2 linked regions of the Neurospora crassa OR74A genome follow. The protein of the gene in region 1 purifies or fractionates together with the protein of each later gene. This does not show direct contact. Links are inferred from orthologs where the notes say so. Each region holds a gene or a part of one and is shown in the gene's direction. Other genes may lie near its edges.

Region 1 (5,252 bases):
TAAAAATGCCGTCGCTGGGGTCGCACTCGACAAAGACGGTCAGCTTGCGCACGCTGGTGCACTCGTGCAATCCCAGAGCTGGGTTGACAACCCAGCCGCGCGGTGGCTTGTTCCAGCCGGGGCCGAGGCGCATCTCGAGACTGGTAATCCAGGAGCGCTGGCGGGCGCTCATGCGGGCAAGCAGAGGCTTCTTGGTCTTGAAGTGTTTGCCCGGATGGGTGGGGAAGATGCGGAAGGTGTGTGTGCTATAGAATAGGTAGCCGGCCTCGAGGCTGATGGTCCGACAGGTGCGCAAGAAGCCCAGCTTCTTGTGAATGCGCCTGTAATTGTCCGGGTCTAGGTCGAGGACGTAGTGGGTGTCGTCGAAGAAGTATTCGTAGATCTTAACTCGTAGTTCGGCCGGCAACTCTAGGAAGGGAAACGGCTTTTGTTTCCTTCTGGCTAGTCGGGAGAGAGGCTTTGGGGGGGCAGAAGCTTCACCAGTCGCTTCGACAGAGCCAGCCAAGGTTAATGCGCCCATGGCTTTGGTAACATCCTCATCGACTTGTCCGTCAACCCCCCCTTCAACCTCTCCGTCAACGTCCCCCTCAGCCTCGGAGGCATAAGTCGACGGATAGGCAGAACTCAGCGGAGTATTGAGATTAGAGGGGATCGGGGTCGGGGGAGCATGAAGCGAATTGTCCACGACGGTCGCGACGGTACGGGACGTCCTCGTGGTGATTCTACGCCCCACTAGTTGTTGGGTGGCTTTGCGAGGCATTGTGGTGTAGATCGTCGTCTAACGACAGGGCAAGCGAAGAGAAGGTTGAGAGATACGGTAAGTAGAAGTAGTGGTGATTATGATATCGCGATCCTGGCAAAACACGAATAAGCAGTCTGTAGGGCTGACTGGCGCCACTGTGCCTTCGGAACGCGAAGTGGCAAATGTTGAATGTCAAGGGTTTGGGAAGGGTGGGAGATGAATGTAAGTGGATGTTGTAGGAATCTGGAAGGATAAAAGATCGGTTCTGAGATGGTTCAGTTTCTTCTGACTCTTGGCTTTAAGCTCGATGCGTCGATGATAAGTAGTATGTCTAGGCTGTGTGTGTGGTTGAGTACGCAGAACTCTGAGAGGGTGGTCCCATCGTGAGTACTGAATGCGCAACGACTGGACCACCCTCTAGAATGCATTCGCGAAAGCCATGGTGGGCGGCGATAGTTGGGAGTTGGAATGGTAAGTGGCAGGGAGTTGTAGAGCGCGGACTGGACTTTTTTTTTGGATGATTGATAATGCCGGTTCGGGTGGCGGGGAAGGAGTGGACTTTGCGTTTGTGCTTGGATCACCGCAGCCGTTCGAGCGTTGGATGAATGATGATATGTTCCAGAAGAAACAGAGAAGACGGGAGTGGGAAGGAGAGAAGATGGGTTGGGAGCAGAAGAGGGCAAGTGTTGTGTTAAAAAGAAGATTCGTCAATTGTATCGATTCGGTTCCGTCTCGGCTTGCTAGAACGATGCAGAAACAAAACGAGCAAGAAGTGGTCACCTACCTACCGAGAAGTGCAGGTGAGGGGAAGGCAACTGAGTGGATGATGTTGAATGGTTCAATTGGATGTCCATCACAGCAAAACACGGCATCGCTGTATCGCTGAGTGTGCAGACGATTTGCTTTGACCGACGCATTACATAAGCTGTACTCGGATAGCAAGAGGGTTAGGGGTAGAGTAGGGAAATCACACAAATGGCCTGGATCACCAAGAGGTACAACTACTGAACTGGATTGTAACAGAAAAAAACATCCACTTAGCATATGGTTCACCTGGGGGACTTTTGAGGTGATCAAGTCGTCAGTCAGGTCACCCAAGCTTTCCATCCGTCGTTTAGATAGCAACTGTGTGGTTAGGAGAAGAGCGAAGTGATCTGAATGGCTCAGAAGAGCTTTAGTTATCGAAGAGCCAGTCATACCTTTGAATGCCCGGTACTTGTTTAGTTCGCAACCTCCCTTCATTTACAAATTATACTTGCTCCTTTCCACGCAACAGTAATCTGCTCGTCGAAAAGCATCCCGTCTGTAGGCGCAATGCCAGTGGAAGAGTACATAGTGTCACGGTCGTCTGACGTTTTCAGTATCTGCAGTCCAATAAACGACACCTGTCAAATCGTGCCCGAATCTTCCAACCGACATAGGATCTCAGACACCTGTCGTAATAGATAGTCTCCTGGAGACGAGATCAAGAGTTTTATCTTTTAAGCCATATTGGAGTTGAGATGGTGAATTGGAGATCAAAGACGTGATTGTCATCCATCCATGCAACAACCACAAGCTGAAAGATGACGACATGTCCCCCACTGTCTTTGACGCTTAACTCCGTATGTGGGGCCATTGGGGCCGGGAACAAGAACTCTCAGAACATCAAAGGTCTGTGCACGGCGGCCTTGGAAGATCCAGCGACAGACCCCTCCTTCGTGTCTGATTGGACCGAAAGAAGCGCGCCAAGGCTGAAGTTCAACTAGCAGCGTTGTGACGGAAGGTTCAGGACTCAAGTTTTTTTCTGGGCGAGCAGCCGGCCGGGGCGGGAAGCTTGAGTTTGTGGAATTGGAAAGTTTGGTTTTGGGATATCATATCGCTATCGGGCCCAGCGGATACTGACTGACTGCAACTGACTACGACGCCCTGAATTTCCGTTATCCTACTGTTATCGTCACTTGTTTCCACCACCTAGAGGCAGCAACCAGCTCCCCCCCCCCCCCCTCCTGCAACCACCCGGGCATCCATCCACCTCCGGTTTCCATCACTAGGGGACACTCGACACCACACAGCTCCAAACAGCTGCTGCCCTTTGTGTGTCCAACCAATATCAGTCATGATGCTGTCCAGAGCTGCCGTGCGCTCCATCGCGGGCGCGCGTGTTGCAGCTCACGCGGCGTCGCCTCTCCTGTCGCAGCGCACCCTGCCCGCCGTCTGGACCCGTTCCATGGCCAAGGACAACAAGCCTCCCAAGTTCTCCAAGCCCGAGAGCACTCCCGCACAAAAGGCTACTCCCAAGGCCCCCGAGCCCGCCGAATCCGAGAAAGCTGAGCAGAAGCAGCAGCAACAGCAGCAACAACAAACCCCAGCCGAATCCGAACCCGAACCCGAAATCGACCTGTCCAAGCTCCCCGATCTAAGAGGTGGTATTCCCACCACCCTAGAGTATGAGATGGCCCAGAAGGAGGCCGGCAAGAAGCCGGTCGCCGGTGAGGAGGCAGAGACACAGGCTGAGGGCGCCGAGGGCCCTGAGGCCGCTACGTCAGGCAGCGGTGGTGGCGGCCGCAAGAAGGGCCAGCTCCCCGATTCTGCCTACGTTTCTTCTACTGAGAAGCGCCGCCAAAAGATGGCCAACTGGGCCTTCATTGCCGCTGGTCTCGCCTTGGTGGGTGGAACGATCTACTTGGGAAGGGAATGGGATGAGGAGGAGCTTGAGAAGCACCATGATATACCAAATGGCTGGGGTCTCGGCCTGTGGTGGAAGAGGGCCAAGGCCAGGATGACTGGAACCGTCAGCTACTACCAGGAACCTGCCTTCGAGAAGCTGCTACCCGACCCGGATCCGTCATTCGAGCGTCCGTACACCCTCTGTATCAGTTTGGAAGATATGCTGGTGCATAGCGAGTGGACGCGCGACCACGGCTGGCGTCTCGCCAAGCGTCCTGGTGTCGACTACTTCTTGCGCTACCTCAGCCAGTACTACGAGATTGTTCTCTTCACCAGCGTTCCCTTTGCCAACGCTGAGCCTATTGTCCGCAAGATGGACCCGTACCGCTTCATCATGTGGCCCCTCTTTAGGGAGGCGACCAAGTACAAGGATGGCGAGATCGTCAAGGTAGGACCACCTAGAGCTGTCAAGATTGCACCATCACGGTAGCTAACCAACCATTGTCGCACAGGACCTTTCTTATCTCAACAGAGACTTGTCCAAGGTCATCATCATTGATACCGACCCCAAGCACGTGCGCGCCCAGCCCGAGAACGCCATCGTCCTCCCCAAGTGGAAGGGTGATCCCAAGGATACCGAGCTCGTGTCCCTCGTCCCCTTCCTCGAGTTCATCCACACCATGAACTTCCCCGATGTTCGCAAGGTCCTCAAGTCCTTCGAGGGCCAGCACATCCCCACCGAGTTTGCCCGTAGAGAGGCCATTGCCCGCGCTGAGCACAACAAGCTCGTTGCCGCCAAGGCCAAGAAGGCTGGCTTGGGCTCGCTTGGCGCCCGCTTCGGCATCAAGCCTAGCAAGCTGAACCCCATGGCCATGGAGGGCGAGGAGGATCCTTCTGAGGCTTTTGCTAAGGGCAAGATGATCCAGGATATTGCCCGTGAGCGCGGCATGCGCAACTACCTGGCCATGGAGGAGGAGATCAAGAAGAACGGCGAGATGTGGCTCAAGATGGAGCAGGAGGCCCAGGAGAAGGCCCAGAAAGAGATGATGAAGAACATGCAGAGTTCCGTCTTTGGCTGGTTCGGCGGTGCTCCCAGCGGCGAGCAGCAGTCCGGCGAGTCAGAGAAGAAGGCCTAATCGACCAAACGAATCCGCCCCCTCAGTCATCCGCGACGATATGTATCAACACCTTGTGACCATTTTCTTGTACTTTTACCATGTCTTGTGCTATTTCTTTTTTCCATTTTCCATTCTCTGTCTATGATTGGCGTCACTAAAGGGATTTACCGGACTTCTCTACTCCGGTCATGGTATTCTTCCTTCACATGCGGAGCATTGGAATAGGCGTGGGTCACTTAGGAAAGAGAAGGTTTCATACATCTACATAATCTGTCTGAGGGTGTGGCTCTAGAGGTGCTGTAGAATGTCTCTCAACGAAAAAAAGTTATGACAATTCCAACACTTTTCCATATCACTTCGGGCAAACATCCCTTCTCAGCAAGAAGTCTTGTCTGTTCGCCTCCCTGCATTTTATTCGTGATGCCAGGAGCACGTTACTGTGTGACCGCAAGTCGAGGGAACATCCTAATCGAAGAACACCCACTAGCTCATTCACCTTCTCTCGTTATCGAAGCCGCCTCGCGTTAAGCGAGATAAATATCTGTCCTCGCATTGTCAGCGAGCACAGTCCCACCAGTCGAACCCGGTGCTTTATTAAAGAAAGTCATTGGTATTGAGCTTGGGTTGGCACAACTCAACACCTTATTGCATTGGACATCTCATCGTCCAGTGTTGCGAGGACTATGACTTGTCATCCTTGACATATTCCCGATCAGGGGTAGGATAGCCGATACTAATTCGAT
Region 2 (5,252 bases), about 3.6 Mb from region 1:
GACCGTCTTGCCTTCGTGGAAGCGGTGCGCCATCTGGTGCGCCTCGGTGAAGATCTCGCCCAGCACATGTCGGTGCGGCCACAAGAGGGTGAGGGTCAGCGTCTCGTGCGGCTCGCCCGTTGCCGTCTGAGTCGTGCTCGCCTTCTCCCGGTTCACGGCGATGTACACGCCGGGTTTGTGCCGGATGATGTGGCGGCCAAAGCCGGGTTGCACGCGGAAATCTGCGTGCGAGCTTCCTTCGTCCTTGCCGGGGGTGATAGACTTGGTGGTGGTAGAGACGGAGAGGTTGCGGAGCCGCGTCAGTCGCTGGGCGATGAAGCCGGTGTTGTCTCGCGGCAGCGCCAGCCAGGCAAGGACCCAGTTATAGGAAGGATCACGCTTGCTGATCTCGACATTGACCAGCATCTGACGTTTCAGTAATCCGGCACCACGGATGGCAGCCCGGCGACCAAAGGCGGCGGCGGCGCCAAGGCCGGCGAGGCCCATGCCACCGGCGAAAACGGGATTGTTGAAGAGCACATCGAGGTTGAGAATTGATCCCGCTGTAAGCGGGGTTTGCGGATCGGTCGACATTGTGGTCGAAGTTCTCTATTCTACATGGCTTTGCGGAAGAGGTTGAAGGCCGAAAAGGGTCGGCAAGAATTGAGAGGGCTCCGGGTCGGATGAGGTCTGGGATAAGGTGGAATTCATCCGAATTTGGTTAATGTTCGACGTTTAGCTCCCGTCGCCGGGAGCCATGCCGACAATTGAAAATTTAAGTGGGTCCAACAGTACGGTTCTTGCCGGGCTGCCGGTACCTCTAGATTCCCAAGAGGGACGCTACAGTACAGTATCGGAACCAAGGTAATCCAACGATTCGGTGTTCCTCGCCGTGGTCTCCAATGCAATGGGACATCCGGAAGCTCATCCTTGGGCCATGTACAGCAACAAATACGCTCTCTGAGCCTCAAAGCACCCTTTTAAATGTCATAAGAAATGAAGAGAACAGAACCTGGAAGCGGATCGGCATGCGGTCCCCTTCCGGGTATCCTAACATGCAATTCAATGACAGATTCTTGTTTATACATGACATGTACACGACCGCCAGCCCATTGCTGCCAGCCAGGCTGTGACGGCTCCCCATCCAATTCTGTCCCCAAGACCAGCTGCACTCGCTTAACCCAAACGTCTGGGCTTCTTGCTCCTTGTACCACCGAACTTGAGGCGTGTGGCATCGCTGACACGTACGATGGAGCTGCGCAACATCCTTCCTTCGTTTCCAAGCAGAACCTTGATGACCGCCTCTCTGCCAGGGCCGAATCCTCGTAAGACCACCTCCATCTTCTTGATCTTATTGTGCAAGTTCATCTGATGCATCTTGTCTACCACGTAGGCGCCCAACTGATATGCCGAGTCGTAGTGTTTGCGGTTAGACTTCTTGAAGCCAAGGTTGCCGCACGAAAGGGATATGAGAGCGTCGCGGTTTGGCTTGGTGACGGTAATGTGAGTGTTGTGCTTGTGCGAGTAGATGTGGAAGTGGTATGGCTCGTCCTCGGTATCCCTCAATCCAATGTTGGTTGCAAGCTTGTCACCGGTCAAATCGGTGGGATCTGCGGCCATGCCGACAATGCCCCGAGTCAAAGACTCCATCAACTTGGCTGAGCTTTCGGAATCGGCGTCCCTCCTGGCGGCGGTCTGTGAGAACGCCCGCGTCCATACTGGCGTGGCGCTGGGGAAAACGGGCTTGTTGAAGGCCTGGAAGAGGTTCTGCGCCAGAAGGCGGCCGGTAGAGAAGCGGCTCATCTTTGCTGGCCAAATGCTCCTCGGAGCTGTCGCGACGGTGGGGTGGACGACAAAGGAAAAGTGACCTTGAATGAGCTGGTGGAAGAGCAGTTGCGCACACAATGCCGGAGTTGGGGGAAGCGAGTCGTACAGGTAGTGGAGAGACCGTGGCTCCGTGGTGCGCGGTGCGCGTGCGAATGCCGTGAGTGGGTGGCTCCCGTCCCGTTCGCCGACCGGAAGTTCAAAGGTCCTCGAAATTTTGAGTGGATGGCCGCGGGGCAGGCAACGCAAGCGGCACCGCTGCAGAATCAAGGGCGACCATGAAACCGGTCGGCGGTGGGGCAGGCACTTTTCTTGGCATTGGTAACAAGGGTGAGCCGACAGCGGGGGACTGAACGAAATGTTCTGGGGCAGTTTTGGAGCAGTTTTGCGGCCGAGCGGGGGCAAAGAAGCCAAAAGATTTCGGGGGACCCTCGGTGTCCAGCCGACCAATTCAGCGCGTATTGGATCGATTTGCCCGGCCATTGGCGTTGCAGCAGAATTTCCACCGATCCATTTTCCATTAGCTTGCGCGCAAATTCTAAGTTCTGTCCTCGGCCCTTGCAAGATTGCCCTCCGTCCGCCAACTTTACGCACTCCACTCCCGTGCTTCGACTTGTTGTCTGCATCAGCTTGAAGGCTCCGTCTCCCAGGTTTTTCCGCAGGACGGTCCAGCTGGGATAGCAAACATGAACGCATATAGGCATGTCCTAAGGACGTCGCCGGGGGCTCCGTTGAGAGCCACGGCCGTTCCTCATACCACCCATGTCAGGTCACCGGCGACCAGCCGGCTCTTGTCCAGCCGCGCTTCCCGTGTCAACACCACCGAAAGTCGCATCTCTCCCGCCACGCCCATCTCCGCGCAGGAGATTCCTCTACTAAGGTCGCCTTTTACCCCTAACGCGATACAAGCCCGCTCGTTCCACGCCTCGTTCCGCGCGCTGCAGCAACAGGAGCAGCCTAAGCAGCAAACGCCAGAGACCGAACCCAAGGCGCAAGAAGAGCCCACTGGAAAGAAAGAGTCCAAGTCTGAAGAAGCAAAGGAGGAGGGCGAGAAGTCAGAGGGTGAGCCCAAGAAGGAAAAGAAGGAGGATGCGCCGCCTCCACCTCCCCACGGTGACAAGACTCCCTGGCAGGTCTTCATGGAGACCATGCAGACCGAGTTCAAGCAGTCTCAGGAATGGAACGAGTCGACCAAGGCATTGGCCGCCTCCGCCAACCAGATCGCAGAGAGCGAGGCCATTCGCCGTGCACGACAGGCGTACGAAGCCACCTCTGGTACTGTTTCCTCTACGGCTGGCAAGGTTGTCAAGACCACCGCGACTGCCGTCGGCAAGGGTGCTCAGTGGACTTGGGAGACGCCAGTGATGAAGGGAGTGCGTAAGGGCGCCAACATCACCGGAGAGGTTCTGGACAAGGCAACGAAGCCTATCCGCGAGACTGAGGCTTACAAGAACGTGAAGGACGTCATCGATGACGGAAGCAGCTCCAGATATGGCGGCTGGGCTGAGAAGGAGGAACGTAGGAAACGCAGAGAGAAGTGGCTGAAGGAGTCAGCTGGCAAAGGCCCTCAGATCCTTGAGGAGGATCCCAAGTAAGAACAAGCCCTGCGGACATATCTGGTCGATTTGCTAACTGTTGCAGTGCCGGAACCAACGTCACTCTCCACAAAGATGCCGCTTGGAAGGAGGCATGGAGGGATTTCCGCGACTCCAACAAGTTCGTCCAGAATGTTTTCGGCTTGAAGACCGTCTACGAGGAGTCGGAAAACCCCCTCATCTCCACTGCTAGGAGTATCACCGACAAGATTGGCAGTTTCTTCGCCGAAAACGAGACCGCTCAGGTCATCAAGAAGCTTCGCGAATTGGACCCCGGCTTCAACATGGAGAATTTCCTTATGGAGTTGCGCGAGTACATCCTTCCTGAAGTCCTCGAGGCGTACGTCAAGGGTGATGTTGAAACACTGAAGCTCTGGCTCTCGGAGGCCCAGTACTCCGTCTATGAGGCTTTGACCAAGCAGTATCTCCAGGCTGGTCTCAAGTCCGACGGACGCATTCTCGACATCCGTGGTGTTGATGTTCTCAAGGCGCGGATGCTTGAGCCTGGCGACATTCCTGTTTTCGTCATCACTTGCAGGACTCAAGAAGTTCACGTTTACAAGAACGCCAAGACTGGAAAGTTGGCGGCCGGTATGGAGGACAAGGTTCAGCTTGTGACCTACGCCATTGGCATTACTCGTATTCCTGAGGATGTCAACAACCCCGAGACCAGGGGTTGGAGATTGATCGAGATGCAGAAGAGCGGGCGTGATTACATCTAAGCCCGCATTTTTTCCAACGAGCGTGTCTTTTAAGGTGAAGGAGCACGCTTTTGCCACATCACCACTCGGCGTCGAGCGCTTGTTTATGTTCACTACACTATTATCGGTTGCGGCAACCAAGAATAAATGTATCATACCAAAACTGGGATCTGGTCGCATGGGGGCCATTGGGAGTTTCGGAATCTTCGTCGCACATGTATAGAAAGGCAGGCTACGGAGCGGGCGCCTTGAGCATTTCCAGCATAAACACACCACTCTGAATAAGGGCATACGGATCAAAGATTGGTGCCATGACGAAATGGTCACACTGTACAATATAATAGCGGGACTGAGGGCAGTCACAAAAGAGCTGTGGAGCGAAACAGATATAGGCGTTTTGAAGCGATACCCGCTTTTGTACAGAACAATGACATTGGTTCTTTGGATAGGACGTTGGTATCGATCCTCTGCCTGTGCTTGAATCATCTCCCCCCTCCCGAGCCTCCTCCGTTGGTCTGTTTTAAGCTGATTAACCGCCTCCAATGGCCTATAGTGCTTGAAACGAATTTCATTAGGCAATCATACACCAAGGTACCGTGCGAATGTAGAACATAACTGAGACTTGGTGTCGTTAATTCTCTCGATTCACCCGATCTCACATGTGATAAGCCCCAGTACATTGATCGAGACAGTCAAGTGACCGGATCTCAGCAAGACAAAAACACGCGCACGCCGAAAGAAAATTCTCCAAACAAAAATTCAAAAATCAAGGCATCTGGTACAATGTTGATGCAACAAAAACCAAATAGCTTTCTGAGACTCAAAAAGTCAAAAGAATTGGATGCACCGCGGATCGAACGCGGGACCGTCTGTAGAGCAAGATAGAAATTTCAATGCAAAACAGAAATCATACCACTAGACCATGCACCCATGGTTATTAGGCTGTAACCCACTGATACCCTATATTGTATGAGCACAATTCTATCCTCAAGCGGCACCATATGCTTGCCATTTGCGCCTCATAAACCAGCGCTTTTCTCGGCAGCATTCAACATCAACTGTCTACCTACACACAATTCTTGAGGTGGTCTGCGTCGCGTCTGTCCCACCCGACTCGCATACCTATGCTACACAGCTCAGGTACGGGGCCGAA

Evidence for each region. The genes of interacting proteins can lie anywhere in the genome.
Region 2: the proteins of tim50 (region 1) and tim44 purify together in Saccharomyces cerevisiae (affinity purification with western blotting; 3 studies listed by BioGRID, with this or other methods). This does not show direct contact. The link is inferred for Neurospora crassa OR74A from reciprocal best matches to the Saccharomyces cerevisiae genes TIM50 and TIM44.

What each region holds. Positions count from the first base shown.
Region 1 is NC_026501.1:8,625,402-8,630,653, reverse strand, and holds tim50 (mitochondrial import inner membrane translocase subunit tim-50), read left to right. Parts: upstream 1-2,569; 5' UTR 2,570-2,840; coding exon 2,841-3,839; intron 3,840-3,903; coding exon 3,904-4,527; 3' UTR 4,528-5,027; downstream 5,028-5,252. Other genes in the region: NCU02942 (hypothetical protein), read right to left, coding at 1-760.
Region 2 is NC_026501.1:4,983,364-4,988,615, reverse strand, and holds tim44 (mitochondrial inner membrane translocase subunit TIM44), read left to right. Parts: upstream 1-2,286; 5' UTR 2,287-2,489; coding exon 2,490-3,394; intron 3,395-3,444; coding exon 3,445-4,120; 3' UTR 4,121-4,671; downstream 4,672-5,252. Other genes in the region: NCU03231 (mitochondrial chaperone BCS1), read right to left, coding at 1-573; NCU03230 (mitochondrial ribosomal protein subunit S18), read right to left, coding at 1,156-2,286. UniProt on the Saccharomyces cerevisiae protein: Essential component of the PAM complex, a complex required for the translocation of transit peptide-containing proteins from the inner membrane into the mitochondrial matrix in an ATP-dependent manner.